6 linked regions of the Xenopus tropicalis genome follow. The protein of the gene in region 3 interacts with the protein of the main gene of each other region in a biochemical or structural test. Links are inferred from orthologs where the notes say so. Each region holds a gene or a part of one and is shown on either strand. Other genes may lie near its edges. The genes, in order: ran, nup214, nxf1, rbm15, nup62 and alyref.

Region 1 (4,544 bases), on a different chromosome or scaffold from region 3:
ATAAAAATGCATGATGTAATTCTGACCCCCACTCCATCTTTTTTTCTGCTTTTTGTGGTGTCACAGGGAATGTTTAGGAAGGTAAAGTAAGGCATGCTGGTGCATTATTTTTTTTTTTTAGAGGAAGGCCACTAGCCCATGATAGATTAGAACCATTGGTGAGTTCTAGCAAATGTACACCCTCCCATGATTTTTACCTTTTTAACCACTGAGTCATTCAAGAATTCCTAGTAAACAGTGTAAGATGAAACCTACAGTATCAACTATTTTCTCTTTACACAATGCTCCTTTAACATTCATGAATAAGAGGTGTAAAAGTGAGGGAGGATCAAGTGATGTGGGCTGACTATGCTAAAGCTGAATGTTCTGGGGAATGAGTAGTCTTATTATACATCTTGCAGCTGACAGTAAGAATTCTGTTACTTTTTTTTCCTCTTTTTATAGGCTGACAAACATACCATGGCAGCCCAAGGAGAACCTCAAGTGCAGTTTAAGGTAAAAAAACAAAAAAAAAAAACCTTAAAGTTATTAGGAATTTGTGCTGCATGTTTTCTAATATTATTATTCTTTGTAGCTTGTTCTGGTTGGGGATGGTGGTACCGGTAAAACAACCTTTGTGAAACGTCACTTGACTGGTGAATTTGAGAAGAAATATGTAGGTATGTAACTTGGTCATTGTGTGGTGTATAAAGCAGATGGTAATGATTAAAGGTGAGCTTTTGCACAGCTTGCTGGTTTAACATATGTAGTGATAAGTGTAAATGGAACATAAACAGCAGATTCAAAATATGAAAATAATTTTAAAGTGGATCTCTAATCAAAATCTTTTTTTAATCCATATTAAAAAAAAAAATAAAAATTCCAGTACTTAATTTTAAAGGAATTCTGGGGGGCTAGCCATGTCTATATTTTCGAGGACGAGAAAAAGAATCATGGAAAGGCAGCTCCCTGACGTCTGTATTGCAAAGGGTTTAGACGCATGGGGCGATTAGTCCCCACGCCGAAAACACAATTGGTTGCGGCGGGTTTTTAAATGTTGTGGTGACTAATTGCTGATGTGTCTTCACCCTAAAAGTGGTAGATATTAGAATGGCAGTAAGAAATCCAAGTCCATCTTCGGACTCCTACAGTTACATGAGAGTAGGAAAAACAATAGGTTACCTGAAAGCAGTTCTAATGTGTAGGGTTGGCTCCTTCTGAAAGCTCAGACTCTGGCATAATGCACTGAAATGGCGCCTACACACCTATATTGCAACTAAAAAAAATGCATTTGTTGGTTGAAGAATAACATTTTAAATGGTAGAGTGAATTATTTGTTATGTAAACAGTGTAATGTGGGAATAAAAGTATACCATAAAAATCATGACAATCCTTAAAAAAAAAAAAAAAAAAAATCATTTGTAAATGTAAGTGCGATCAAAAGCAGTGTTTCCTACCCTGTTCCTTAGGTCCGACAAAGTAACTGGTCAGGTTTTTTTCGGCTTGCTTTTGACAAAGTACAGAAAATGTAGGCAGATAACTCCTTATAGCATTTTTAAAAAAGCATTTGCAATAAATATAACCATGTATATTAAGTAAATTAGAAAGTTGTTTAGAATTACATTTCTTAGAATTGTGCTTTCATTATGAAGAAAACCATTAGGCGTACCTTTAAATTGTCCAGTAACCACAGTAAACTTTCAAAGGCAATGAAACATGGAGTTACTTGTAGCCAGCTACCTGTTGCAGTTGCAAAATAGACAGTAATGAGAATTTTGTTTTAGCAGAGATAATTTTCAGTATTATGGCAGGGTATTTTGTAGCCATAATAAATAGCTGGCTACAAGTAGATTAGTGTGTCTTAGCCTAAATTCTCCATTTATGTTAGTGCCGGCATTCTTACTTTGACTAGGGTATTCTTCATAGTTATATAGAAAATGTTGTCTATGAATTTTAGTTGGTTCCTTGTAGGATTTTTCCCTCCCCATAATTAAGGAACACTTTTGTCTTATTTATCTCTTCTATCCTGCAATAGCCACACTTGGTGTTGAAGTTCATCCCCTGGTTTTCCACACTAACAGAGGGCCAATCAAGTTTAACGTGTGGGATACAGCTGGTCAAGAAAAGTTTGGTGGTCTCAGAGATGGATATTATATCCAGGGTATGTAATGTTTAGACTTTGGAACTTTCACATACTTTACACAGTTGTATTGAGTGCCGTGTAGAACTGATGGTTTAGCTTTGAATTACTATGTAAACATAAGTACAGATTAACTTTTATTACATGTACACTTAATTTTGATAATTGGTGGTTTTTGTAGTCTGTAGTTTTTGCTTAGCACTATAGAATAGTAACTTGTTAATTGTAATGTTTTTTGGATTCCTTGTCTAAATGTTTTAATGCTGTGTTTAACTGTCTTCCAGCCCAGTGTGCCATTATCATGTTTGATGTTACATCAAGAGTCACATACAAGAATGTACCAAACTGGCATAGAGATCTTGTAAGAGTGTGTGAAAACATCCCAATAGTCTTGTGTGGTAATAAAGTGGACATAAAGGACAGAAAAGTTAAAGCCAAATCAATTGTCTTCCATAGGAAGAAGAATCTTCAGGTAAGCTTAACTTGAAGGAAGTATCCATTTTTTATATGCATGGGTTTTTTTTTTTTTTTGTTAGTGGCACACAATTGTTTTGTTTGCTCCTAACAGTAGCGGCCAATACTTTTCATTAGCTTGGAATTTACATTGATATATCTCCCCTTGTTTCAGAAAGAATCAAAATCTTGCAAATAGGCTAGAAGTTTACACATAGGGAAAACAATACTATTCCATGGCTGGCCTAAGGGGGCAGTTGCACGCGTGGAGCTAAATATTCACTATTGCGGGCCACTAATCTCCCCTAAGGGCGAAGACACAGAGCAACTAGCAGCAGCTAAAATCGCCGAAAAAGACTCGCGAGTCTTCGGCGATTTCCGGAAATCGCGCCGCCGCGTCTGCCATCCCGCCGGCGACTTACATGTTCGCCGGTGGGATGGTAGGGGTAGGCAACTCGGGGAGATTAGTCGCCTGCGAACAGGGAGTTAATCGCGGGCGACTAATCTCCCCCGTGTGCCAGAGCCCTAAATGCCTGAAAATACCCTGCCATAGACAATACTAATTGCCTCTGCTAAAACACATGTAGAGAATTATCAGTAAATGATCAGCATTGTCTGTTAGTAGCATCGACAAGTAGCTGCTACTAGTAGCTCCATGTGTCTTCACCCTAACAGGATTTTGGGCTTGTCAGCCTTCAGCTCCACTAGGGGGAACTAATTAATTTTAGATGATAGGTACCCTTTTTTTCATTTGCTTTCGTTCCCTGAATTTACCTAGAATACAACTTGGGTTACATGTATTACATTTTAGCCTTTACCTTCAAGCTGCGCTTTAGACAAGATTGCACCTTAAATGAGGTCCCACTCTTCTGCATAATTTAAAAGTATTCTAAGCTACTTTAAATGAAAACAATATCTGCCCTTTTCTGTTTTCCTGGCATAAATTAGCAGATACCATCTGATTAACAGATTCATGCTATTCATATCTTAGATTTTTCTGCATGAAGTTATCTTTAGCATATCAAGAAAAATCATGGCACCAGAAAGTGCTTACTGTTACTGCGCATACCCTGTTTATTCCTAGCTCACTTATTTTGTTAGCTATTAAGAATAATGCTATTTGGGTGGAAAAAGATGACATCAAAGACTGCAATTAATGCAGAATTAACTCTTGGTTTGGGTTTGTGCTGTCATTTAGGGTAGTGGTGTGGGTGTCTTAGTTTGGTTCTACAGGTTAAAAGTTACAAAACGTTGCATTGCTTTAAATGTGCTTGAAAATTAGATTTTTAGCGGTTAGGTAGGTAAGCAAGGAGGGACAGCAGTGGGGAAAACATAGAAAAATGCAACTACCCATATAAAATACAAGAGGAAACCAGGTATCCACCTTGGACAGCTGTGACATGCTGCCCGTTTATGTATGGCTCTCAGACCATGTTAGTAAAAACCAACCACGCATTCTGCGTAGAGGATTAGCTATACAACTACATAGTTTAGGATATTACTGGAGCATATTATTACTTTCCAGCACAACATTAGAGCTTTGGTTTTTATCATTTGCCCTTTAAAAAAAAAATATGGAGCTGTTGGTAGACTTGGTGCTCATAAAGTCCTTGGAGGACCCATTATCCTACTTTTGGGTTACATTTGCTTTTTAAGGTGCTGTGTAAATCTGTTGGTCTATACACATAAAGGGTAAAATCTGTGCAGCCTTGTCCTATTTGAAAGTAAATGTGTATTAGTCCTCTTTATAGGTGGTCTGATAAGCCGATTCTATAAAAAACATATCTGTAAAACAAGACCATGCCGCTGGTCTAATGTCATATCTGTACTGAATAAACATGTAGCTTTTAGATTTTCTACAGTGCTAAATTTATTCTGTTTTTGGGAATGTAGATCCAGCATCATAAAGGTTTGAATTACTTTGTAAATAAATGGTTACTAAGTCTACTCTTAAGTCCAGGGCCAAACTTGA
Region 2 (5,092 bases), on a different chromosome or scaffold from region 3:
GCAGCCAAACTGTCCACAGTGAAGCAATGTCAGCTAAGAAACTTTCTAACTAAGAGGAAAACTCCTCCTGTTCGATCTCTGGCTCCAGGTACCTTTTCATTAATTAGAGATAATGTATAGAGCCATTGTGGCAGAAAATCTCTTTAAAATTCCTATGAATAGGCAACGGTAACATAAAAACATTAGTCCATTTCTTTGTTTGCATGGTGGAACGTACAACAGTTTGGCCATGCTTTATGGCAGAAATTCTATGTATATGATCAGTAACCCGTGCATATTTGGATAAAATTGCTGCTGATAGATGACTGTGCCTGATGTAAGAGTGGAAGAGAGAGAGATAATTTGCCTTTCAAGTACACAGAGGCCCAAACAGCCCCTCACAGGCCCAATAAATAGTGACTGTCCATGGCAGGGATCCCCAACCTTTTATAGCCACATTTAAGTGGAAGAAGTGTTGGGGAACAACACAAGCATGGAAAAAGTTCTGGGGGTGCAAATAAGAGCTATAATTGGCTATTTGGTAGCCCCTATGTGGACTGGCAGCCTATAGAAGGCTCTGGGTTTTATATAATCAATACTTGCACCAAGCCAGAAATTCATAATAAAATAAATACACCCTGACCATAACGAGCCATTTTTGCTTGCAGCCAATCTTTCCCGTTCTGCTTTCTTGGCCCCGAGCTTCTTCGAAGACCTGGATGACGTAAGCTCGACATCTTCCCTGTCCGACGTGGCTGATAATGACAACAGGAACCCACCACCTAGAGAAATAGAAAGGCAGGAGACCCCTCCACCAGAGGCCACCCCGGTTCGAGTGCCCAAGCATGCCGCTGTGGTTCGTACAACATCTGTGCAGCCCGGCCTTGGCACGGCTTCTATACCCTTTGGTAAACTGGAATCAGGTGTACGGCCTGCTACAAGCACACGTAAGTACTTATCTGCTTCTAGAGATGCCTTCCATAGACTTGTGTTTTCTTCTTTCTAAGTACTGGAAAAAGTATGTCTGGTGAAAAATAATCTAGATATAACTGGGCAGGTTTGAAAATCCATTTGATGAGGCATGCATCAGTACGTTGATGTAGTCTTTTTGAGGGTCTTCATAAACCACAGTGGATGATTTCATTTCATTCAGACCAGCCTGATTGGCCCAGCATATGTGGGTTTCCAAATCTAGCCCAGATCTGTGTGTTTGGCGACCTCACCAAATGAGCAGATCTGGCCGTGTATCGCCACCTTTGCTCTAAAGAATTCCATTGGTCAGATGGGTGTCATTGGCAAAGTAGCGAGGAGGGTGGTGCATAGTTAGAATAGCAAACTACTCAGTGGCAGTGGGTTAAAATGCAGCTGCAAGCTAATATCTACCTAAGCTACAGGTCACAAAGAGCTGATTTCTTGCATTATTTGGTTGTTGCAGCTGTAGCTCCATCACAGTCGATCAGAGTGATTCCACAAGGAGCTGATAGCACCATGATGGCCACCAAGACTGTCAAACATGGCGCCCCCACCGTAACAGCTGCACAGAAAGCTGCTGTGGCCGCCATAAGAAGACAAACAGCCAATCAGATTCCAGGTAACCCTCCTTTCTGTATTGCTGGAAGTTGCCCCCCCCCACTCACACACTTGTAGCATCCCATCTTACTAAGTATCCATATCCAATGCTGGGAGTTTTAGTTATCCACCTATCTTCTTTTTCAGCTGCCTCTTTGACCGAATCCACTTTACAGACTGTTCCCCAAGTGGTCAACGTGAAAGAGCTAAAGAATAACGGGCCTGGCCCAACCATTCCCACGGTCATAGGGTAAGCAGTAAAGCAACCTACCTGCAGGTGGCGCCATCACTCTATCTGATTAGAAGCTAACGATAATCTCCCAGCTTTCTCTTTTTACTGACAACACTGTGTCTGTGTGCAAAGGAACCCATACTGCACCGATAACATGACTGATTTTGCCAGAGCATTTCATGTTACAAAATGGAGAATGCCGTGCTACCTCACCTATGCATGTCCACTTGATCTGCCATATTCAGGCACCATTAGTTGTGATGTTTATAACTCTGCCTTTAGCACCACAGCAAGCATCTGCATCCAGGTGTTGACCTACAACTCCCAACATTCTACCAGCAGTGGGTCTGTCCGGGGTGATGGGAGTTGTTTCTAAACTCTGGAGGGCTTCTGGTTTGGTGTTACTGTATTATATAGTAATTACCCTCAGTATTAATCCCTCATCTCTGTTTTTGGTTTTTAAACAGGCCGTCAGTTCCCCAATCAGCTGCCCAGGTGATTCACCAAGTCTTGGCCACAGTTGGGTCAGTCCCAGCACGGCAGGTACGGATTCATTTTTTTCATTAAAGTGTTCTGCTTTTCCTGCTAAGTTATGTTATTGGACTGCTTGACAGTAGACCCCTAATGCTTAAGCAACCACGTGGGCTGGTTCCTGTTGCAGATTGTCCAGTCATCATGTGCACTTGGATGCTAAGCATGAAAAAGGGATGGGAGGTGTGGCCTCTGTCACTTTCAGATTGGCCGTTGCATCCGATTTGCAGAATTTGAACAAGCAATGACATATTTCAGTGAAATAAACAACCATTTATTGGCTCAAAATTAAATCGAAAATTCAAAAAAAGCAAACAAATTAAACATACTATACCAAACGATGGATAGGTGCATCCCAGTGCCTCATGGTACCCACTCTCCTAACGCATTTCGCACCATTGAAGCATGTAGTATGTTTAATATGTTTGCTTTTTTTTTAATTTTCGGTTTAATTTTGAGCCAATAAATGGTTGTTTATTTCACTGAAATATGTCATTCCTTGTAATATATTGATTCAGGACCTATCAGTGGGAAATAACTTAGAGATTCTCTTTCTTAATCTATTTTTTCAATGATTTGCAGAATTTGTCTGGTTATTGCCTATTGGATGATGGCTGCATAGCACCATTGATACAGCCCTCTACCATTGTGTCAGCCCAGACCCCTAATATGATCCTATTCCCTCATTATTCAATATGCTTATGCTAACTTTATAGGTTGACTGCTTATACTATAGATACAAGTAAGTGCCTCAGGCCTTGCAGAACTACATATCCCAGCATTCTGGAAGTCATAATTCTCAAAGACCTTGGCTTCAAATAGCTGTGCATTCGCTTTGCTTTTACTGTTATTTATAAGCAGCATTACCCCAAAGCAAATAAAACTCATGAAAAATAAATACTCCCTAGGCCGCCCCAGCTGGTCCACTGAAGAATCAGCCTGCACCTGCATCTGCAACCGGTATCGCTCCTCAAACATGGCAGGGATCCGCCTCCAACAAAGCCGCAGGTGAGTGGCTCTGATGTGCAAGGGCAAGGTATGCGTTATAAACTTGGAATTCAGAGGAACTTGCTGCAGATCACTACATATTTTATGACACACTATCATTGCCTTGCCTTAAAAGCAGTTTATTTGCTACCAGCCATAAGCACGTTTGGATTGGACAGCTGTGTTCTAATGATAACCCTTTACTCTCTCTCTAGTGCAAGCAATCCCAAAATCTGATCCTCCAGCAACCCCGGTTCCTGCTGCCTCTACAGCTGCCTCACAGGTCAACAAGCCTGTTTCCTTTTCCGCTGCAAGGTAAGTGGCCTATTGACTGCAGTCTGTCTCCATATGAGACGGAATCTCAATGTGTAGAAGAAAAGAAAGTATCCGTTTTAAGGTGGGATTAAGGGAGGATCAGACTGGGGGGTGCAGGGCCCACCGGGGCTTCTGCTTCAGGGGCCCCTGCACCCCCCAATGGCCCCCGCCGTCTTCACTCCCCCCCACACAGAGGCACCCAACACCCTACCGGGTTTTTTCCTGGTACCCCGGCGGCCCAGTCCGACGCTGTGCTGGGAGTTTAAATTTAATGAGAACCGAAGCCTAAAAACGAATGTGCCTTATAGTGCTGTAGTTTATATACTGAACTTAATGTACCAGCCGTGAAGTCCAGGCGTCCTATAACTGTAATGATCCAGGCCTTAAAATAGCTCCCCATTTTGGTTCTTGTTCGGCCATCTTTTTGTGTCAGTGACACTGCACATGCTCAGTGTGCTCTGGGCTGCTGGTGAGTAGCTAAGCTTCCGACAGCAGCCAAGATTGTGTGCTATGAGTTAGCAGAAATGAAAATGGGATGCTATTGCAGGCATGTTTTTTTTGGAGGAAGAGCCCTTTACTGCTAGAGGCCAGTGGTGGCTGAGTTGGACTGGCCCACTGGGATACTGGACCCTGTGTCGCCCTGCCACCTACTCGCAAGCAAGCGATCCCAGCCAGCACGACTCTGCTGCCATGTGTTCCACTATGGAATGCACAGTAAAAAGTGGAACAGGAACAGCGGTTTCTGGGTGGTGGGCCCTTGAGTTAGGTTCCGAGTGGATCATTGGTCCCCCAGTCCGACTAAACTATTCCAACAGTGACTTCTGAAACAGGGCTTGCAGTGTCCCTGAAGCAGATGAATGCTTATAACTTGTAACTATAAGAAAAAAAAACATCTTCATTCTCTCACTTCCATTTTTGTGTTCACAGCAGTGGTTTCAGTTTCAACAGTGTATCTTCTGCTCCTGTTACAACCTCTGCCATGGGAGGCAGCTCTGCAGGTAACTCACCCTGGAAAATATATATATTACTGTTCTTGTTCTGCTTGAACTACTATCATGGTGATATGATGGACTGCAATTTTCTTTCCTTTTTCAGGTTCTGTTACCGCTGCAAGGGATTCCAACCAACCATCCTCCTTTGTGTTTGGAGGTACCAGCAAGTCTTTATTTGGTCCTGGGGCAGAAGGATCGTTTTCTTTTGGATCAGTTAAAACTGCTTCCTCCACCTCCAGTACTTCCACCGTGGAATCCACATTGGGCAAACCTAGTGTTGTTACAGGCGTGTCATCCTCATCCACCGTTACTAGCACTGCTGCAGCCATCGGCAAACCCGGGGATGGCCTATTTCAAGGGTTTTCAGGTGGAGAGACTTTAGGAAGCTTCTCAGGCCTGCGTGTTGGTCAGGCTGATGAGGCGTCCAAGGCAGAAGTTGCCAAAGCGCCCCCTGCTGCACAACCAGTCAAGTTGCCCAGTAACGCTG
Region 3 (5,092 bases):
TCCACTGGCCACAAAGAGAATCGCTGGTGATAAGTCCTACTTGTCACTTTGTTTATCTGAAGTCATACAGAGTTTCCTACTTAAAGGAAAAGGAAAGGCTAAGTCACTTGGGGATGCTAAAATGTTAGGCACCCCAAGTGACTTTAATCGCTTACCTTGTACCCCTGGTGCCCCTGTTAGGAGAAAACAGCACCAGCCCGGGGTACCTGTAGCGATTCGCTTCCTCCTTCCGGCTTTGTTTCGCTGCGACTACACGGTAGGCGCATGCGCAGTAGAGTGAAAAGCCGAGTTCTCTGTTAAAGTACGGCTTTTCACTCTACTGCGCATGCGCATGCTCGTGAAGACGGAAGGAGGAAGCGCTACAGGTACCCCGGGCTGGTGCTGTTGTCTCTGAACAGGGGCACCAGCCCGGGGGAAAAGGTATGCGATTAAAGTCACTTGGTGTGCCTAACATTTTAGCATCCCCAAGTGACTTAGCCTTTCCTTCTCTTTTAAGTCACTTGGGGGTGCCTAACATTTTGGCACCCCCAAGTGACTTTGCCTTTCCTTCTCCTTTAAAGAATAAGTAAACTTTGTTTTTTTTCTATAAGTAAAATTGCTCTAAACAGCCTCCAGAATTAACTACCTTTGTCCCCAGCATTCTCTCTGACCTGGTTCCTCAGTCAGAAGGTGATCGTTTTTCTTTGCTTCCTTGTGCAGAGTGAAGCCCCACCCCCACTTCCTGTTCAGGTCTCTCATAAAAAAAAACAAAAAAAACTGCTAATCCACAGACTGGCTTCTGCTGACTCCAGTCATGCGCAGAAGGGTCTCCAGGTCGACTACAGGTAGAGAGAACTGAACAGAGAGTGGGGGCAGGGCTTCACTCTGCACAAGGAAGTAAAGAAAAACAATCGCCTTCTAACTGAGGAACCAGGTCAGAGAGAATGCTGGGACAAAGGTAGGTAATTCTGGAGGCTGTTTAGAGTAATTTTACTGATAGAAAGGCCTTTCCACCGACACTTTTCCCCATGGGTCAGTGTGAGGTAAAATATCTTCAGCTATTTGTTTTCAGGCACAATCTTGAATTGGACATATGTTCTGTTAGTCTTGGATGTAGCCCAAATTATTCTCCCTTTTTCTCTCTTGAATATTTTTTTGTCTAATAAAAGAAAACTTAATTCTAAGCAACTTTGAAAATATACATTCATTGCATATTTGTAATGGTTTTAGAGTTATTTGTATATAATACATATTAGAAGTTGTGTTTGCCAGTCATTTTCTATTCTCTGCCCTGTTGGCTCTGGTGTTTGGAACAATGTAACTGCTAGCAGACTGACAGACCTGACTTGCTGGAGGAGCCTGGCACTTGAAACATTATTATAGAAATCAGCATTTGCTGATCTCCTGGTTGTTACTTTTAAAAACAATTACATTTCCAAAACTTTTAAAGTACTAATAATTTTTAATGTATGTTGGAAAGTTTCTTAGAATTATATTTTCTTTTATTAGACAAACATTTATTTTTGGAGTTGACATGTCCTTTAAAAAAAAAAAAACTATACCCCAGAATGAATATTGATGGTTTATACTACGTTAAGTGATCTATTAAAGAATCTCGCCAAACTGGAATATTATATCAGTAAATATTGCCCTTTTACATCCTTTCCCTTGATCCACCATTAAGTGACAGGCTGTTTGCTCCCTCAGATCACATGACCAGAAATAATGCAGCTCTAACTGTAACAGGAAGTAGTGTGGGAGCAAAAGGCAGAACACTGTCCATTCATTGGCTGATGGGGCCTAGCATGTATGTGTGCCTTGGCTTGTTTGTGTGCACTGTGAATCCTGTGATCCCAGGAGGCGGCCCTTAATTCTTAAAATGGCAATTTTCTATTTAGGATTACCCAATAGCACATACTACTAAAAAGTATATTTTTATGGAGCAGGGTTTTACATATAAGCTGGTTTATGCAATATATTTTTATAGAGGCCTACATTGTTTGGGGGGTAAAAGGTTTTCCTTTAAGGAAAATTCCCACAATTCAGGACACTACCAAGCTTGTCATCTGCTTGCTTAGGCAGTATTTGATTTTTATTTTTTGCATCTGGTAAAGATGCACAGTGTCCCACATTCTTTACCAGCTAAACAGCTGATCCTGATCACATGAACACATGCCAACTTTCTCCTAATATTTTTTCTGTTTTTCAGGTATTATGCCTGTTATGATTCTGAAGACAGGCAGGGTCTTCTGAATGTGTATCATGATGAGGCATGTTGCTCTCTGAGCATTCCTTCAAATCCAGGCCAGAACCCTTCTAGGTTTGTTGTTTTCTCTCTATTCTTTCCTTGAGCAATTTCTGCAGTTTGTAATAGCAGAGTTGCACAAGAAAATGCATGTTATTAAAGGTTAGTATTTAGTTTGAAATATAATTGTCTCTTTGAACAGGAGTAGTCTTGGAGAATATTTCAAGGACAGCAGAAATATAAGAAGACTCAGAGATCCAAGTAAGTTAAATCATTTGCTGTTTTCCTGTATTGTAGAGAAAACCTGATGATTGATCACCCAGAGATGTTGGTTCTAAACAGGTGCAGCTTGGAACCTGACTAAAGCTGGCCATACATGTAAAGATCCACTTGTTTGGCAAGGTTGACTAAAGTGCAGATCATTCCCCAATATGCCCACCTTGAGGGCCGTGGGTCACAACTATTGGATCAAACAACAGAATGCTGGCCATTGGGCAAGAATCGCATCAATCACCCGATGCAATTTGTGGCCAGAAATGTTGTCTAAATATCCATTTTCAATGGGTGGTACATTTTAAGTGCAATTGTTCCATTAAAATGGAAAGCTGCCCCAGGCAAGTAGCTGTGTCTGCCACCAGTAAAGAAATTATTGAGAGGTGATGGGTGAGAAGGTTATTGGTTTACCCCAGAAATGCATTGAAAAATACATGGAAAATACACATTGGGATTTATGTGTAAACACTGGACAAATTTGTCCCTGGGCAGCAATCAATCAGTGTTTAGCTCTTTTGCAGCTGACTGCAGGTAAAACAATAAAGCATTGTTTGCCATTGATTCTGCCCAGGTGTAGATTTGCTTATTATGTTCCCTTTGACAAAGGAGAAATAAAGGTAAACACTAAGGGGGAGATTTACCAAGATCCAAACGCTCGGAGCGTTTATGCGAACGCTTCGAGTGTATTCTCGACAATTTTGGAAAGGCTCTGCCGCTGTTTACAATTGTTTGGTATAAAAATTCAGTGACTTTCAGATCGCCAATACGATATTATCGTGACTAATACGATTTTTTCGTAAGCATTTTCGTGATATTTGCGACCTTCAGAAATTTTCGTTTCCAATCCGAATTTTTCCCATTCGGGATTCGAACTCCTGTTTTGATAAATCTGCCCCCTAAGTAAGCTTTATCAGAAAGGTCTATGTAAATACAGCTATAAGCACTCACGGAAACGCTGCACTGACTTCTCTGAAAAAGGATAATTTGGGTCTGTAATTCCTGTGCCAGAGACACGCAGCTTTCTGTTCTCTCCCCTCTCCTGCTCCCCCCTCCCTCAAGAATGCTAAGGACTCTCTCCCCCCCCTTAGGAATGTGGATCTGAGCCAATCAGCAGGAAGCTAACTCATAGTCTAACTGAGCATGTTCACTTAGTATTCGTGTCTGTGCAGGAGTGAGGCATTATGGGAACTTTCTTTACGCAGCTCAGTGTATTTTCTTCCTGTTTGGCTTCAGATCTTCTAACCAGTTGAAATATGGGGAGACTTAAGGGCACTATTGAGACAACTGAAGGTATGCCTGCAGCTTGAGATTAACTCTTTACTAGCCTTTCCTTCCCCTTTAAGCTTAAAGGTGTCCATAAACAGGTAGCTGATAAGATTATGGTTTGGGCCCTTCAGACAGAATTGGCAGCTTATTTTACCATGTATGGGGCCTATCTGACTGATATTTGACCAAAAATCAAGCAGATGTTTGACTGGTTTAATTTTTTCTGTCTTATCAAACGACCTCATCAGCTCATTGATATGGTTCTCGCTCGGGGTGGCTTGTATTCACGTAATTGCCAAACAATTACATTAGTGTATTTTTAGATTAAATTATAGTGCATTGTGTTGTGATATCTGGGATTGTCTGTCAACAATTCACAATCTTTAATCAGTGCTGTTAGGCTAAAGGTGGCCATACACGCACCGATATTATCGTACGAAACCTCGTTTCGTACGATAATCGGTGCGTGTATGGCATGTCGGCGAGTCGACCGATATCGCAGGAAGCTGCCGATATCGGACGACTCGCCGATCGGACAAGTTTGAAAATTTTGATCGGGCGCCATAGAAGGCGCCTGACCAAAATTCTCCCTTCAGAGCTGAATCGGCAGAAGGAGGTAGAAATCCTATTGTTTCTACCTCCTTACCTGCCGATTCAGCCCTGAATGGTGTGTGGCGGATCTTACGATGTTTCGTGCGACCGATGGTCGTACGAAACATCGTCGGATCGCCACGTGTATGGCCACCTTTAAAGGAACAGTAATGCCAAAAATGAAAGTGTATTAAAGTATTTAAAATATAATTTATTGTTACCCTGCACAGGTAAAGTTGTGTATTTGCTAAAGTAACAGTACTATAGCTTATATAAATAGACTGCTGTGTAGCCATGGGGGCAGCCATTTAACCTGGAAAAAAGGAGAAAAGGCACAGGTTACATAACAGATAAGCTCTGTAGAATATAATGGGGCTTTATCTGTTATCTGCTTTGTGCCTGTGCCTTTTCTCCTTTGAATGGCTGCCCCCATGGCTACATAGCAGCTTTGTTTATATAAACTATAGCAGTCTTTCTGAGGCAGACACACCAGCTGTACCAGCACAGGGCAACAGTACATAATATCGTAATTATTTTTATACACATTTTTTGGTGTTACTGTTCCTTTAAGCAACATGCCCCTGCAGGTAAATGCAGGTTGAAAATCAGCACCTATATCTGATCAACTTTCGGATGTGCCTGCACCCAAAGACACTGCATTAGCTCGGATGTAGGCACACAAGTGGATTTTGGCACGAAATGTACAGGTATGCTTTTTGGCACTGAAATCTACTGCGT
Region 4 (5,590 bases), on a different chromosome or scaffold from region 3:
AACATGTTTTTGGGATTGGCCCCTGTGTGTGTTCAAAGGCTATTTGGCTCCACCTCCAAAAACCTCATCAAAGTGCAATCCATGTCAAAATGTATTTTTCAACAATTCTTGCATTATGTGATGCATCCATTGCCCACATTTGCATATTAAATAAGGGCTCCATTAAATTCTGTGTCACCTTACATAGCTGTAGGACCAACAATAAAGGCCATAATAAATAATAAAGTTCATAAAATATTAGAAAAATCCATTAAAACAATTATCTGTTAAAAGAATATTTTAAACAGGATACTGCCCTCAACAGGTCTATGCAGGGGACCCAAACATGTTTATTAAACATTTAACCCATTCAATTAGCTCCTACATCACTTAATTTATATCAATACCTGAAAACAAAAAAATGCTTGAACACATCCAGTAGAAGCTCCATATTCATCACTCATCTAAAAAGAAAAGAAGGATATGTCATCATAATATTCTAAAGTTCCATATTTCACATACAAGTATGGGACCCGTTATCCAGAAGGCTTGGGACCTGGGGTTTTCCAGATAAGCAGTCTTTCCGCAGAGAAAAAGGAAGCCATTTTTGGCATTCCCTTAATTCTGAACTTTCTGGATAATGGGTTTCTGAATAAGGGGTCCGATACCTGTACTTGATAGTTTTTGTTATCTATTTTGCCTCGCTTTGTAATATTGTGTTCAGTGCCTCACCTAATGAGTCACTTATTGGTGGGCATAAATTAAAAAAAATCTGGGAAATAACCTTTTTACGAGGTTCATGGTTTAAATAGGTTATTGGGATCTGGAGCTATATTCTCCTACATTCTGAACACATTGCCACTGTTCACATTTAATAAAGGGATCAATGCCCAAAACATTTTGTGTACAATCACATAAAAGTATCTGCAAGGCTTGAATTCTAGAATAAAGTACGCTGGAAAATTTGTTTTGAAAATTGCACTTTGCACATAACACGGTATTAATAAATGTACCTTATAGAACATTGTGTTAAAATGTTAAAGAGGTTACCAAAGGTCTACAATCTATATATCCCTGTATAGTAACAATACTGCATTAGGATTGTTTGACAATAACAGCAAAGGAAATACCAGTAAGATATGTTTGAGTGAAACACAAACATGAAATAGTGTATTAATAATCTGTAGGGGTGGTACTACAAAGGGAAACAGACTAGAGATTCAAAGGGCCTAGAATGGTCCTTACAAAAAAACAATTTTAATTACCCAATTTAGCATATGTTTAATAGTTCTAAAATGAATTTGTTGTGGGGACCAGTAACAACTAATTACACCACTAATAATGTGTAAAAAAAAAATCTACTTTTAACTGAAACGACGTTCTCGGCTTAAAATCACTTGAACAATTATGCACCTCCTATCCAGCAGCCTAGTAACCTGCAAAAGTATATAGAATCGATTCTACTGGGTTGTTTAAAACGCTTTGCATCTGATATGCCAATGTTGTCTCTTTCCAACGTTCCTCTTTACATTTCACTGAAATTTTACAAAAGTAAAATTGATATGAAACAAATGAAACCTTAGAAACCATTGTAGCACAAAAGATTTCACGCGTGAAAGGATGGATCGAAGCTTTAATAAACCTGCAACGTAGCCATTAGCCAACCCATAACGCCCCGTGGGAAACGCAGAGAAATAGCGGAAGTGACGTGCCCAAAGACCACCCCATCCTATGCGATCTTGTAAGAATGACTGCAGAGCTATCCAATAGAATTTTAAGAAAGCCAGAAAGTACCCAATCGCTATTCAGGGCGGTCAATTAGGCGAAACCGCTGCAAAATGGCGGAGTGTAGTTGTGTGTGAAGACACTATCATCCCGTAACTCGCCATGAAGGGAAAAGAGCGCTCCCCGGCCAAGGCCAAACGGTCCCGGGGGGCGGAGGAATCAACTCGCGAGAGAAGCGGAAAAAAACTGAGCTCCGGTGGAGGCAGTAACGGATCATCGGGAAAGACATCTGAAAGCAGCACAGGCCGCCGGAGCCTGCATGTGGAAAAGGCTATTTCCTCGAGCCGCGACTATGATCAATCGAGCAGAGCCCAGGGCTTGCATCGCTACGGCTCCCCCGGGGCAAGCAGTGGCAGTAGCAGCAGTAAAGGTGGCGCTGAGAGCCGAGGCGGCGGCGGCCGGGCTACAGAGAGCCGTGCAGAGCCAGAATACTACAAATCCTTGCGGATAAGCGAGCTGGGCTCCTCGCTAAGTGACGAGGCAATAGAGGATGGACTTTTCCATGAATTCAAAAAATTCGGAGACGTAAGTGTGAAAATCTCTCGCGAGGGGGACGAGCGTGTGGCCTTAGTGAATTTCAGGCGCGCCCTGGATGCCCGAGCCGCTAAGCACGCCCGCGGGAGGCTTGTCCTTTACGACAGACCCCTCAAGATTGAGGCTGTTTATTTGAATGTCGGCGGTACTAACCGGAGGCGCAGCCGCAGCCCTGGGGAGAAAGACTCGTATGGCGGACTCGCCGCCGCTGTTTCCACACTAGCCACACACAGGCACCCTCACGGCCAGCGCGCACTCTCCCCCGGCGGCCTGGGCTACAGAGACTATAGGCTGCAGCAGCTGGCTCTGGGGCGCCTCCCACCGGCTCCGGCAGCTCTACCCAGGGAGCTGGACAGGGAACGGGAATACAGCCTTTATGATAGCCGGCTAAGGTCTACCTACACAGTAGATCCCCGACTGAACTTTAGAGACGAAGACCTTGCTTTAGAGATTGATGCCAGAGCTAATCGTACACTCTTTGTTGGAAATCTGGATGTCGTTGTCAAGGAGAGTGAAATTTATAGGGTCTTTGGACGTTTTGGAACTATTACAGAAGTAGATATAAAACGAGCTGGTCGTGGGCAGCAAACGACCTATGGTTTCATAAAGTTTGAAAACCTTGACATGGCTCACAGGGCAAAGGTTGCAATGTCCGGCAAGATGCTTCGTAGTCATGCTTTAAAGATCGGCTATGGGAAAGTAGTACCAACAAACCGCCTTTGGGTGGGGGGTCTGGGACCTTGGGTACCAGTAACTGCATTGGCCCGGGAATTTGATAGATTTGGCACCATCCGTCAAATTGATTACCGCAAGGGGGAAAACTGGGCGTATATACAATATGAAAGTCTGGATGCTGCCCAAGCTGCCTGTACCCAGATGAGAGGCTTCCCTATGGGGGGTGACCATAGAAGACTTCGTGTGGATTTTGCAGAAGCAGATGTTCGTTTTCCACATCCTTATGTTCAGCCATTACCCATCCCTTATATTGATTTTGGAGAGGAGACACCAGGACATCGGACTAGTGAAGCCAGCAGAGCCAGAGATCGTTCACCACCTTTAATATTCAGGGACAGGGAAAGAGATGCTTATACAAACAATGATTGGGTGTCACCTCCTGCCAGAGACAGACACAGAGTCACTAGTGAATCTCTTGAAACAATAGAACGACGTGCAGATAATTGGGCTTTAGACAGAGACCGTGAAAGAGATGAAGTGAACAGAGATCAGCCCAGGAAAAGGAGACTGGATGATAGCCGTCACCTAGACAGATCACCAGAGAGTGACCGCTCTAGAAAGAGACACTGTGTCACTCCTGAACGTAGCCCTGAAGGCAGTGGAGGTCGAGACAACCGTTACAATGACTCTGATCGAGTAGCATGCCGCTCCTCACCTTCTAGAGATTGGAAGGGAAGCCTGGAGCGGGGTCAAGAAGACAAACATGATAGAAAAAACTCAGTTGAAAGAGAAAGAAGGCATCGTGTACCTGCAAATAAAAGCCCTTTAAAAAAGGATGAGCATCCAGAGGGCAACAGCAAAGTGAAACCTCCACAAAAATCAGAAGCAGCACACAAGCTGTGTCTGGCTTGGCAAGGTATGCTGCTGCTTAAGAACAGCAATTTTCCATCCAATATGCACCTTTTGCAAGGAGATCTTGGAGTTGCATCCAGCTTGCTGGTTGAGGGACCTTCAGGAGGAAAGGTGGCACAGCTAAAAATTACACAGCGCCTACGACTTGACCAGCCAAAGTTGGATGAAGTTACTCGACGCATCAGAGTGGCAGGGCCTAATGGCTATGCCATCCTACTTGCCATTCCTGGTACTTCCGAGGGTTCATCAGTGGACCAAGCCAGTTCAACACAACGACCCCTAAGAAACCTGGTGTCCTACTTAAAACAAAAACAAGCCGCAGGTGTTATCAGCCTGCCCGTTGGGAGCAATAAAGACAAAGATCATGCAGGAGTTCTTCATGCTTTTCCTCCCTGTAATTTTTCCCAGCAGTTTCTTGATGCTGAAGCAAAAGCCCTTGTGAAGTCTGATGATGACTACCTTATAATGATTATAGTTCGTGGGGCATCCTAGGTCCATGTTTGTATTTCTGTCTACTATTCACAAGGTATTATGGGATACAGTATAACTTTTAGTTTTTTTTTTTTTTGTAATCGCAAGTTCAGTCTTTGTATTGCAGTTTTTGATCTGCTTAGCAAAAGCATTTATGTAATTAAACAGGACCGGACCATATTCAAGTGTTGACGTTTCCTGCCTATTTCCCATTTTCTTTAAATTATATTCTCTTAGCATAGGTAATCACAATCTTCTGATTTTGGCAACTTCTTGAATTTTTTTAAGTGTGAGATTTCTGCTAATTTTTGAATACATTACTTCTTAAATTTGGTTCCCAAACTGTCACTGGACTGTAACACCAAAAATGTTCTCATGTGATGCTGTCCAGCAACAATTGGGAATACAAAGTTAAAAAAGACTTCCATGTATTAATTTGACCCGTTACCACATGCTCGAGTATCCACTTTTCTGCTAGTTTTCTGCAGCATGCAGTAGAGTTCAGTGTAAATACTGTATGTATGTGTATGTGTGTGTGTATATATATATATATATATATATATATATATATATATATATATAATATATATACACACACACAAACATATATATGTTTATCCTACACATCTAAAGAGAGGATTTGAATGATATTAAGAAGGAATTTTATTTTTAAACTTACTCTGTTTAGTTTATTTCCTCCATCAAGAAATGGGTCATATAGCATGTTTGTAGAACAGTGCCATATAAGTGTCAGATATAAGAGTGCCCCATACCACAGAGAGCTCCTTAGCCAGTATGTAGGTTTCATGCATAGAGTAAGCTATGCAAGGAAGCTCTAAATTTGCCACGTGTCACATAAATCACATACATTTTTACTATGTAGGGTCATAGCTAACAATTGACTTTGTCATTTATACTACATAGCATGTATATAGAAATAAGATTATCAATTGCTCCCTTAATGCATATGTCTAAATTTCAAATCTTTTAGATGTGCAGCTATTATTTTTTGTTTTATTGGCAAGTGTGCTTATAAGTTCAGAAGCTAAGGACGTTTCAAAACACCAGAAATGTGTTCTTGCATATATGTAAACTTTAAAAGAGCCCTGTTGTGTTACAGGACAAAAGATATTACTCGACAGACACTGGAGGGCTTTGTGGGCCATTAAAAGTTGGCGATCATACAATGACAGAATTTGCGGTGTCCTGGCCAGTACACTTACAAGTTAATTTT
Region 5 (5,092 bases), on a different chromosome or scaffold from region 3:
TTCTTCCCAATCTTTGTACCCTATTAATTCATTTCTTTGAGGATCACCATTTTCCCTATGTGTTCTTCTCAATAGCAGCCCCTGGTTTGAACTTTGGTTTATTGTCATCGACTCAGTCTGCTGTTCCTTCCACTGCTTCTACTCCAGCTGCCTCGCAGTCGGTAGCACCAACACCTGGGCTTAGCCTTACATCATTGGGCAAACCAGCAGACCCATCTGCAGGTAACTACTGCCCACTGGCAGTTTCACATTGACCTTTTAGCTCTGTCTTAATTCAAAAAGGTTATTTTACACATAGGTCTTATCTTCAGGTATATGCATATTTGTGTTTATTTATTTTCTGTAACTATTAAAATACTTACAAAAAATAAAACCCAAGTAACCTTATATTCTTGAGTTTTGTAAACAAAATGGCAGTTAAGTTACCCTTATAGGTAAAGCCCCAAACTATCAGGTAAGGCTATACAGAATTCAAATCCTAGTGTGCTTAAAACGTCCTCCCTAAATTCCTCATCTCTGCTGAGATCAACTCCCCAAAGATAGTAAAATAGGTCACTGTGTAAACCATGTTCCAATGTTGCAGCAATATAGAATGAGACTGTTTATACAGTAAAGATATCTTTAAAAGAGGTGGGGTGGGGTTAAGCACACCAGAATGACAATTGTGTATCACTAACTGTCTTTCCTTGTTGTCTTGAAAATGTGTTTAATTGAAAATGAAGACTAACTTCATAGTGTCTTAGAATTCCATTATCTACACCATACTAAAAGTTATTTTTTAGGTAAACTAACTGTTAAAGTGAGTGTTAAGTAAGTTTTGTCCGAAAGGGCTATGTAAATACAGCCATAACCACTTACAGAACTGGTGCTTTGGGTCTTCAGTGAAACGAAACACCACATTTCTTTTTTTATATATATATATATATATTATATATATATATAATATATGGTCTTCTGTGTCAGACTTCCTGCTCTCAGAAAAATCAGTTTGTTCCTCCCTCCCTTCTCCTTCTCCCCCTCCTTTCTTTGCTGTGTAATCTGAGCTTAGAGCTGTTCCAGGAGCAGTGTGCAGGTACAGAAGTGAAGTCAGACCAAGTTAAAATGGCTGCTGCTGTCTTAAACAAGCAGAGAGAGCTTTTATAGCTGTTTACTTAGGTATGGTAAAGCATTCTGCAGAATAAATATAGCATTCTGACTAATCTATTGGCAATAAAATGCCTTTTCTTCTCTTTTGAAGTTTTACATTTATTTTTTTTCTGTAAAATGTACTTTCTTCTAAGTTTTGCCTTTTATATAACAGTTGTAACTCTTATGTTTAAATTGATACAGCAATGGTATCCACAGGAACCGCCACAACAGCCACACCTTCCCTTTCTTCCCTTCTGGGGACATCTGGGCCCTCTCTCTTCTCTTCTTTGGCTACTTCAACTGCTGCAGCTGTTGTGACGACAACAACAACAGCAGCAGCAAGTGGACTGTCATGTAAGTTCTCATTTTCATTTTTAAACATAGTACTGTTCAATATAAATAATCAGTACTGAGTTACCAACGTGATTCACCAGTTTTTTTGTGAGCTGCTGGTTAAAATACAACAGAAGTTGTTTTTTATGTTATTTTTGTGTGGTCTATTAAAGTGTGGTAAGTGTTAAAAAAGAGACAAATTAGGGCTACTTCATAAGCACTTTCTCATTATGAGTTATGGTTAAAAAGTAGGCAGTTTCTCCCTACTCATGTCTGTTTTTTGTGTTTTACACTATCTTCTGTGTGGATAGTTATTTGAAAAAGAGCTTTCCCATAAACTATTTTACTTATTTTTGTTAAGAGATGCCCTAATCTGCTAGCTATATAGTTTATTTTTTGTCATACTTGTGATCCTTTGTGTTTCTTTTAATCTGATTCCTGCTTATGCCAAGGGCCTCAGTGCATAGCTTTGTATTCAGTAAAGTGAGATGCATATCTCTTATTAGTGAGTTCGACTACAGCAGGCACGGGTTTTGGAATGAAGATTTTGCCAAGCAGTGCTGCACCAACAGGAACATTGCCTACCAGCAGTAAGTATAAAGTGGGAAGTTTAGCATAGCAATAATTTCTGTAGTTCTGTGTTAAACACTTTTTTCACGGGATCATAATGTAATTTTAAGTTTACTCTTATATGAGTGAACAACAGAGCCTTGAGAACAGATGTTTTTGGTGATTGTAATGCAGGGTTTTGCAATATTGCAATTTTCTGCCTTACTATGCTCTTTTCCACCTTATTGTAATTGTGTGTAAATAATGGAAATTGTGCACTATTACATCCTTTTTCCTTGCTTTGCACTTTCTTGCCCTACAATACACTGTTTTGCCATATTGAGCATTTTGAGCAATAATTAAGATAAGCAGTGTGGGTCATGTGTATTGTATACGCAGTATACTGAGGAAGCGCACTGGCACAATACTCATTAGGAGCTCAGTGACCATGGAGCACTGTGGTACCTCTCTCCTTTGCATGAAGTTATGGTTGTTTTATGTGCAAAATAAAAGTTTGCATGTGTGATACTGCCTATGTTTGTAGGCACTTGTTCGCAATAAATTATTAGACTGATCAGCCGAATAAACCAAATCTTTAGTCCAATGCTATGGCTTTTCTTTAGGAAAATAGATTATAGTATAGTTGAAGTCTTTCTTCATGCATAAAATAGTTGCTGGTTCTCATCTAGAGACTTCTGTCCTTATTTTCAGCAGCCTCTCTTGGTATGAGAACTCCACTTTCTGGAACCACAGTTCAGGCTAATGTTGTCAGTTCTGCTGCAGCTGCAGGAGTCGGGTAAGAGGTGTCACAAATGATACCATTATCAGCATAGCAGTCATTAATTTTATTTCTCTGGTTGACTGATATTTTGATTTGTGTTTTTCCACATAATGGTTTGTCTTTTTAGTACTGCTGCAACAATGACTTATGCTCAGCTAGAAAATCTGATTAATAAGTGGAGTTTGGAATTGGAAGATCAAGAAAAACACTTTCTGCAACAAGCAACTCAGGTCAACGCATGGGACAGAACTCTTATGCAGAATGGAGAACGGGTGAGAAATCTGAGAAAAAAACACTTGTGTGGCTTAGTGTAAACAGTTTTTGTGTGTGTGCAATAATGTTTTCACAGGCAGAATTTATTTTTATTTATTTTTTTGTCTGATTTCAGATCACCACTTTACACAGAGAAATGGAAAAAGTTAAACTGGACCAGAAAAGGTATGAGTAGGAAGTAAAACGGCAAAAACATAGAAAATTTGACCAAGATGAATGATGTTTGGTTGATTGATTGAATATATGTAAGAAAGGCACACCTGAGCTGAAAATCAAATGTTTTAAATGTACAATATTGCATAAACCTATTAAATAATAGTTGGTTCTATTTTTAATGTTCTCATTTATAGAAATAGATTGAGTTTTTCATAGCAAAAAAAAAAAAGTAGGAAATATAAAACATGAGTAGTTGGGAATCACAATCCATGCAATTCAAAGTGAAAAGGGGACAGGGGGTGGGATGTTAGGAAAGGAGAGGGAGGATCAGTAACAACACTTGCATCAATGCTGGAGCCCTGTCAATCTTTGAACGCATATGCAAACTTGGTGTAACTAGATAGGGGACTTCTGGTGCCTCATCTTAAGAAGCAGTGCTGAAAGTTTGGGTTTTGTAAAGATAAAAATCCCAAAGTTGTAGTGGGCAAAAGTAGTTTCCTGTTCCTTCCACGTGGCAGTGGGTACCAAAGGTTTAATCTCCCCTGCCATGAAGAAGGTACAGGAAATTAAAACATATTAAAAGTACTTCCCCTTTCCAATGCACCTATTTATTTTTTCCTATCAAGACACCCTTTAAATACCAGCAGAGTAGCTCTCCTCTTGCTGAAGCTCCTGGGGCTGATTCATCTAAAAAGATTTATGCCTTTGCTGATCAAGATGTCCATCATTGGGTATTGGTATTGTCCTTAGTCAGTTGACATGGTTGCATAGGGAAGGGGAAGTCCTTTTTATATGTTGTCATTTTCTGTATATTTCATAGTAACATAGTAAGTTAGATTGAAAAAAAGATGTATGTCCATCACGTTCAATCATCTTCCTCACAGCAGGCACAAGAACAAGTATGTGAACAGATTGAAAAAGCAATGTTTAAAGTAATGTAAAATCCACAAACAAAAACAATTCAATAGAAAGTAAAATCTTGTTTTTGCTGTGTGTATTTTCATTTTCTGTCTGGCTGTGTAGAAATATATGGTGATTAAACAGGTACACCTGCATGCTAAGCTTGCTCTTTGGAAGCTATTGGGTCTGTTTCACCCTCTCTACTCTTCTATCAGGTTGGATCAGGAACTGGACTTCATCTTGTCACAGCAAAAAGAACTGGAGGACCTTCTGACTCCTCTGGAGGAATCTGTGAAAGAGCAGAGCGGAACCATTTACCTCCAGCATGCAGATGAAGAGAGAGAGAAAACGTGAGCCAGTATTATAATGTAATAACTAAGAAGTATAAGATACAAGGAGATCTGGGTTTGTGATTATACTCAAGTAGGCTTTGGTTATGAGAAAGGGAAGGCATGGTTAGGGCCAAATAATTGTGAATATCTTCCTGAAATAAGAATAATACATATTCAGAATGTTTCCCTCAAGAATAAAAATTGCATATCATTCATGTTACCCTTTACTACTCACTCCATGCAGGGTTGTGTCATTGAGTTGGTTATTTATAAATACACTTTGGTCTAATATATTGTTTAAGCAAAGGAAGGACACCCCAATTTATTTCACCTAACTGTCGGTTCTGCATGAAATCATATATATATATATATATATGAACCTGGAGTGTGCTGCCAACGTTTAAATCCTCTGCATGAAGAAAGGCTGCTCAGAGGGGGATAGTGAAGTGTAGCTTAATCATTTTAAAACAAGTTCTCGGTTCTGAAATAATGTTTGTGTATGTGATGTGCCTTAGGTAAGACCTTTTTGATGAAATTATGCTTTTACATTCCTGTTATATACTCGAGGAAGGGATAGGAAGTTCTGAAAAAAATGAATATTAACCGAAAAATAATGGTTTGCATAATGAAATAAAAAAAA
Region 6 (5,186 bases), on a different chromosome or scaffold from region 3:
TTAAACTTTACCATGTACTTGATCCTAACTAAAATATAATTAATCCTTATCAGAGGCAAAATAAGCCTGTTGGGTTTGTACAATATTTAAATTATATTTAGTAGACTTAAGGTATGAAGATCCAAATTCCAGAAAGATCCCTTATCTGGAAAGCCCCAGGTCCCAAGCGTTCTGGATAACTGGTCTCATGTACTTGTAAAGGTTAGTTACTAAGTAATGCTGCACTTCTCAGGCAGTGAAATATAAGGTAAATGTTGGCATACAAATTTCTGTTTTTGCAGTAAGGACCATTTACCAAACCCTACTTTAGCTTATGTTTAAGAATGCTTACCCAATGGTAGCGTCATGCTTTTTGCAACTTGCAATTTCCAGGAGGTCAGGCACCATATTCCACTACTGTGCATGTTCCAGCTTCTCCTAGCAACTTATTAGCATAGCATTACTGGTATTGACTGGCAATTGACATTATATTGTAACATACCCCCCTGATGTCATTGTAGATGCACGGAAGATTCCCAGCATGCGTTTGTGCTAGATTAAAGGTGGCCATACACAGGCTGATTGTAGCTGCCGTTATCGGTCCCTTAGACTGGTTCGGTAGCTTATCGGCCCATGTATGGGCACTAACGATGGGCCTGCCTGACCAATATCTGGCCTGAAATTGGGCAGATATCCATCAGGCAGGTCTGATCAGGGACCGCATCGACTCGTTGATGCTGTCCCCAAACTGACTGCGCCTATTACCGGTGTTCTAATTCGATCGTTTGGCCCCAGGGCCAAATGGCGGATTAGCCTAAATTCCCCCGATATCGCCCACCCGTAGGTCGCCAAGTGAGTGGATCTTAATGTGTACGGCCACCTTAAGATCTCAAAATCTTGTATGAGTGATATGGCAGCAGATCACTGGTGCCTGCTGTGCCCGGTGTCATTGTCCTAAGGCTTTGTAGCATACCTGCATGCAGAGTAATGTTACCTTAGTCCTCTTAGCTGGAGCTGATATCTATCCTAGATGTCTGACTGCACCACCTCTTTTTTTCTCAAGTGTTAACCTCATTACTCTCGTTGTATGGCAGTTGGTAGAGTTTACCTTTTTGAGATCTCTTGGCTTCAGTGTGGGCATTGCGCTACAGGCAGTGTTTTGTGGCTTTTGGATTAATGACGTTTTTGTTTTTTGTTTTACAGCCGAAACAACTCCCTGACAAGTGGCAGCATGATCTGTTCGATAGTGGTTTTGGTACAGGCGCTGGTATGGAGACTGGAGGAAAACTTCTTGTGTCAAATCTTGACTTTGGCGTTTCTGATGCAGATATTCAGGTGAGGAGTCACTGGCTTAATATGCGTGTTTTTTGGGGGAGGGATAGATGGCATTGTCACCCACATAATTGTGCTTCCATAATAAATTTTTCATTGGAATTGCTGCAGATAGAACATTTGAATCTCCTCTTAGCGATAAAATGTAAACAAGGGCCTTCTTGCACAGTGCAAATATTTTAGCTAAAACACGCTCACACCTGAACTTTGTGGTATTTTATATCCTCCACAGAGCACATCTGACCTTTATTACTCAGCTGAGTGTTCACCAATAGCAGGGCATTCCAGGAAGTTTCACTTCTGCTTGAAAACCTGCCTGAAACACAACTTTTTTTTTTTTTTAAGCTCAATCCTATATCCAGAGGAGAGTAACTCACTGGTACATATTTTATAATTTTTATAGGATATGTCTTCAACCATGCAAATGCAAGGAAACTGTATAAAGTTGCAAATAAGTTGGTCACAATCACTGCAGTAATTCAAAAGCTTTTACTGATATGGTTAGGCTGTACTTTCGCTACTCTGCAAATCAGTACATGTGGTGGTTTCTCAACAGGAGCTCTTTGCAGAGTTTGGTACTTTAAAGAAGGCAGCAGTACATTATGACCGATCTGGGCGAAGCTTGGGCACTGCAGATGTGCACTTTGAAAGAAAAGCCGATGCTCTGAAAGCAATGAAGCAGTATAATGGGGTACCACTGGATGGTGAGTTGCTTAACATGGCCAACTATATAAATAAAATACATAATTATCTTGTCTAAAATCAGCCCTCTCCTATTGTTGTAGGTCGGCCCATGAACATTCAGTTGGTCACATCACAGATAGAAGCACAGAGAAGACCTATACAGAGGTAAGGAAAAAAGGTTTATTTAGCTTGGATAATGTATGTTCTTGATATTGTAATTTATACTAGGGCTTGCAGCACACTATATGTTTCCTTTACCTGCAGTGGCTGAACCACTGCTCTTGGCAGACTGCATGAACACAGGATGTATTATGGTGCAGAAATTAATATTTTGGGCTGCTTTGCTGCCAGGCCAGGACAAAAGCACCTGCTGCATACTAATAAATTATAAGGACCATTTAAGCAGATTGTGGTGGAAAGGCTAACTACACAAGGATCAAAGTTAATTTCAGAAACATTTCTAGTTGCATGTGCCTTTAGTTTTGAAAGTAATTTCAATTTTTTTTTTTTTTTAAATAAAACCTTTGCTTGCAATGCAGGGGTTCTGGCTTGTGTCAAGGGCTCTACATCATTCCTTTAAAAAGTCTGCTTTATATTAATAGCTAATATATGCTATTTTAAATTTCACGTTAAGATATACTGCACTATGAGTGAACTTTTCAACCCCAGCACCATTAATGTAGTAGTGTTTTTTTTATATTTTGCAGCCAAAGTAGGGGTGGTGGTATCACTCGGCCACGAGGAGGAGCTATAGGTTTTTCTGGTGCAAACAGGCGTGGCGGCAGAGGTGGAAATCGGGGTCGTGGAAGGGGGGCTGGAAGAAATCCAAAACAGCAGTTGTCAGCAGAAGAGTTGGATGCACAGCTTGATGCTTACAATGCTCGGGTAAGAAACTACAGGATTTACTACCAGTACAAGTTGATATGGGGACTGGTCCGATTGCCATCTTGGAGTCGAAAGAATTTTTTTTTTTTTTTCCCCATTGCAGCAAATTAGAGAGGCTTCAGATGGGTTTTTTTTTTTGCCTTCCTCTGACTGTTACTAATTTTCCAGTAACTACTAAGGGATATTCACAAATGTTAAAGGAGACATATTGGATAAGTGGGGAAAAACCCTAATTTTGTAGGCAATTATGAATAATAAAGTGCTGGTTTCCCTTTGGGCTAAACATTAATCCTATCTGTAAAAATGGCCACTTCCACAATTGCTCTATATAGGGAACTTGAAAATGAAAGCGAGTTCGTGGTAATTTTGCACAGATGTTCATAGTAATTTTGGGCAGATTGTGCAAGAAAATGCAAACCATAGATATTTTTCAAATAGGCAAAAGTGCACAATGAAAGCCCTATTCATTGCACTTATGTTGAGTAATGAATACTTTTTAGGGCATATATAGAATGGTGTGCAAGCCAACATCACCAGAGATGTTGCCCATAGCAGCCAATTAGATCTCTGCTTGTGTTTTCTAACTTGTAGGTGACAAATCTGAATTGCTGACTGGTTGCTATAGGCTACATCTTGGGGGTATATTTGTGTCTAAGCAAATATAACCAAAATTTATAACTAGTGCTTAGTTTGACAACTATTTACAAATGATAAATTCTAAGCATGGTCTTTTTCTCTTCCCCAGATGGACACCAGCTAATCCCTTCTGTCTTGTTCCTGTGATGTTGCTTGCTCTGAAGAAAAATGTCAACAGATGGATTTTTGTTTTGCTTTTATTTCCCATAGGTTTTAAGCTCATGTAAAGTCTTTTTCATTTTTTTTCTTAATTTCTATGTCCGATGCAGACCTGTTTTGTACGGAGTTATTTTGGGACATTTTATTGGTTGAATGTTGATGGTAGGGTGCTCTTCACCTTCCTCTAATAAAAAAAGAAAAAAAATCAATCTGTTATTCAGTTGCTGTTTTTGTGTATGGGATGATTTTTAAACTTTCTCCAGGTGTCCACCATATTTGTGTTCTCTGACCGTGTTTACATGCCTTCTTAAATAGTATTTGCTTTTAAAAATTAGGCTAAATTGTAAAAAAAATGCAAGTCAGATTTAATGGTCACATTTTGCTGCATGGACTTACCAAAATGAGACTTAGTGGGTGATTGGATGTTTAGTTATTAGATGAATTTGGGAAGTGTACATATATTGGGTAATTTGCTATGAGGGTGGTTAAAAGAATATCATCATAGTAGTTCCTATGGAATTTGTAAGTTGAGATCACTGAAGGTGAGAGAACTGGGTACAATCTTTTCTAATTATACTTCTTGCAAACTGCTTTCTCTGGCAATAAAAACATGTGTTCATAACTGGCTGATGTGCATGACTTCCATAAAATCTATTTAACTGTAGATCAGTGTGTTTTTTTTTTTTTTTTTTTTTTTTTTTTAACAAAGGATGTTTGTAGAAAGGTTTCTCCCCTCTTATTCAGGGTCTATTTAAAGATAATGGGACTATTTAAAGTCTTAGGCTACTGCCATACAGGAAACAGGCAGAGAATCTACCCCTACACTCTGAAGCATTGTCTCAATCCTAGTAATAGAAGATGGTATCAGGCCATGCTTCTGGATGCAGGCAAGCTAACAGTCTGGTATCCGCATAGGGACTCGTACTCTGCCTGTTTTACAGAAGGCTAGGAATCAGCCCACAGACAAAGAATCTGCCTTTACACTTGAATCAGCAGGTTATGCTGCGTCTGCATGCCTTGAGACCAAAGCAATGCTCCTGGGTACAGGCACAACTTGTAGGTTTCTAAAGTGGAGGGGCAGATTCTTGGCCTTCATCCCCAGGCTGAGAATCTGCCCATGTGGCACTGGCCTAACAGGTCCTTCATTCATCTGCAGCCATGCTCTGGCTTACAGGAAGAGTAGTTAAAACATTTAGATTGAGCAAAGTGTGATTTAATCACCGCTAGAGGGTCATCTCCTTTTGTTACTAGTTAACAACTGAAGAGAGCAGTGCTAGTTCTGGGATTCTCAACTACAGGTATGGGATCCCTTATCTGCAAACCTGTTATCCAGAAAGGCCATTGCCCATAGACTTCATTATAAGAAAATAATTAATTTTTAAAAATGATTTTTTTTTCTCTGTAATAAAACAGTACCTTGTATTTGATCCCAACTAAGATATAATTAATCCTTATTGGAAGCAAAACAAGCCAATTGGGTTTATAAAATATTTAATTATATTTAGTTAATG

Evidence for each region.
Region 1: the proteins of nxf1 (region 3) and ran form a complex in vitro, tested with the Homo sapiens proteins (2 studies listed by BioGRID). The link is inferred for Xenopus tropicalis from reciprocal best matches to the Homo sapiens genes NXF1 and RAN.
Region 2: the proteins of nxf1 (region 3) and nup214 form a complex in vitro, tested with the Homo sapiens proteins (4 studies listed by BioGRID and IntAct). The link is inferred for Xenopus tropicalis from reciprocal best matches to the Homo sapiens genes NXF1 and NUP214.
Region 4: the proteins of nxf1 (region 3) and rbm15 form a complex in vitro, tested with the Homo sapiens proteins (2 studies listed by BioGRID). The link is inferred for Xenopus tropicalis from reciprocal best matches to the Homo sapiens genes NXF1 and RBM15.
Region 5: the proteins of nxf1 (region 3) and nup62 form a complex in vitro, tested with the Homo sapiens proteins (3 studies listed by BioGRID and IntAct). The link is inferred for Xenopus tropicalis from reciprocal best matches to the Homo sapiens genes NXF1 and NUP62.
Region 6: the proteins of nxf1 (region 3) and alyref form a complex in vitro, tested with the Homo sapiens proteins (2 studies listed by BioGRID and IntAct). The link is inferred for Xenopus tropicalis from reciprocal best matches to the Homo sapiens genes NXF1 and ALYREF.

The regions. Positions count from the first base shown.
Region 1 is NC_030677.2:157,739,170-157,743,713, reverse strand, and holds part of ran (GTP-binding nuclear protein Ran), read left to right. Parts: intron 1-444; 5' UTR 445-459; coding exon 460-495; intron 496-574; coding exon 575-659; intron 660-2,014; coding exon 2,015-2,140; intron 2,141-2,403; coding exon 2,404-2,591; intron 2,592-4,544. UniProt on the Homo sapiens protein: GTPase involved in nucleocytoplasmic transport, participating both to the import and the export from the nucleus of proteins and RNAs. Switches between a cytoplasmic GDP- and a nuclear GTP-bound state by nucleotide exchange and GTP hydrolysis.
Region 2 is NC_030684.2:12,377,230-12,382,321, reverse strand, and holds part of nup214 (nuclear pore complex protein Nup214), read left to right. Parts: intron 1-4; coding exon 5-88; intron 89-647; coding exon 648-926; intron 927-1,414; coding exon 1,415-1,570; intron 1,571-1,695; coding exon 1,696-1,798; intron 1,799-2,247; coding exon 2,248-2,323; intron 2,324-3,219; coding exon 3,220-3,319; intron 3,320-3,513; coding exon 3,514-3,613; intron 3,614-4,540; coding exon 4,541-4,611; intron 4,612-4,708; coding exon 4,709-5,092. UniProt on the Homo sapiens protein: Part of the nuclear pore complex. Has a critical role in nucleocytoplasmic transport.
Region 3 is NC_030680.2:36,504,010-36,509,101, reverse strand, and holds part of nxf1 (nuclear RNA export factor 1), read left to right. Parts: intron 1-2,188; coding exon 2,189-2,299; intron 2,300-2,426; coding exon 2,427-2,485; intron 2,486-5,092.
Region 4 is NC_030678.2:72,274,813-72,280,402, forward strand, and holds the start of rbm15 (RNA-binding protein 15), read left to right. Parts: upstream 1-1,774; 5' UTR 1,775-1,866; coding exon 1,867-4,377; 3' UTR 4,378-4,411; intron 4,412-5,590. UniProt on the Homo sapiens protein: RNA-binding protein that acts as a key regulator of N6-methyladenosine (m6A) methylation of RNAs, thereby regulating different processes, such as hematopoietic cell homeostasis, alternative splicing of mRNAs and X chromosome inactivation mediated by Xist RNA.
Region 5 is NC_030684.2:38,697,750-38,702,841, forward strand, and holds part of nup62 (nucleoporin-62 C-terminal-like protein), read left to right. Parts: intron 1-75; coding exon 76-222; intron 223-1,329; coding exon 1,330-1,482; intron 1,483-1,967; coding exon 1,968-2,051; intron 2,052-2,721; coding exon 2,722-2,806; intron 2,807-2,918; coding exon 2,919-3,063; intron 3,064-3,179; coding exon 3,180-3,229; intron 3,230-4,335; coding exon 4,336-4,470; intron 4,471-5,092. UniProt on the Homo sapiens protein: Essential component of the nuclear pore complex. The N-terminal is probably involved in nucleocytoplasmic transport.
Region 6 is NC_030686.2:27,889,056-27,894,241, reverse strand, and holds the end of alyref (THO complex subunit 4), read left to right. Parts: intron 1-1,182; coding exon 1,183-1,314; intron 1,315-1,867; coding exon 1,868-2,015; intron 2,016-2,096; coding exon 2,097-2,160; intron 2,161-2,702; coding exon 2,703-2,880; intron 2,881-3,625; coding exon 3,626-3,640; 3' UTR 3,641-3,871; downstream 3,872-5,186. UniProt on the Homo sapiens protein: Functions as an mRNA export adapter; component of the transcription/export (TREX) complex which is thought to couple mRNA transcription, processing and nuclear export, and specifically associates with spliced mRNA and not with unspliced pre-mRNA.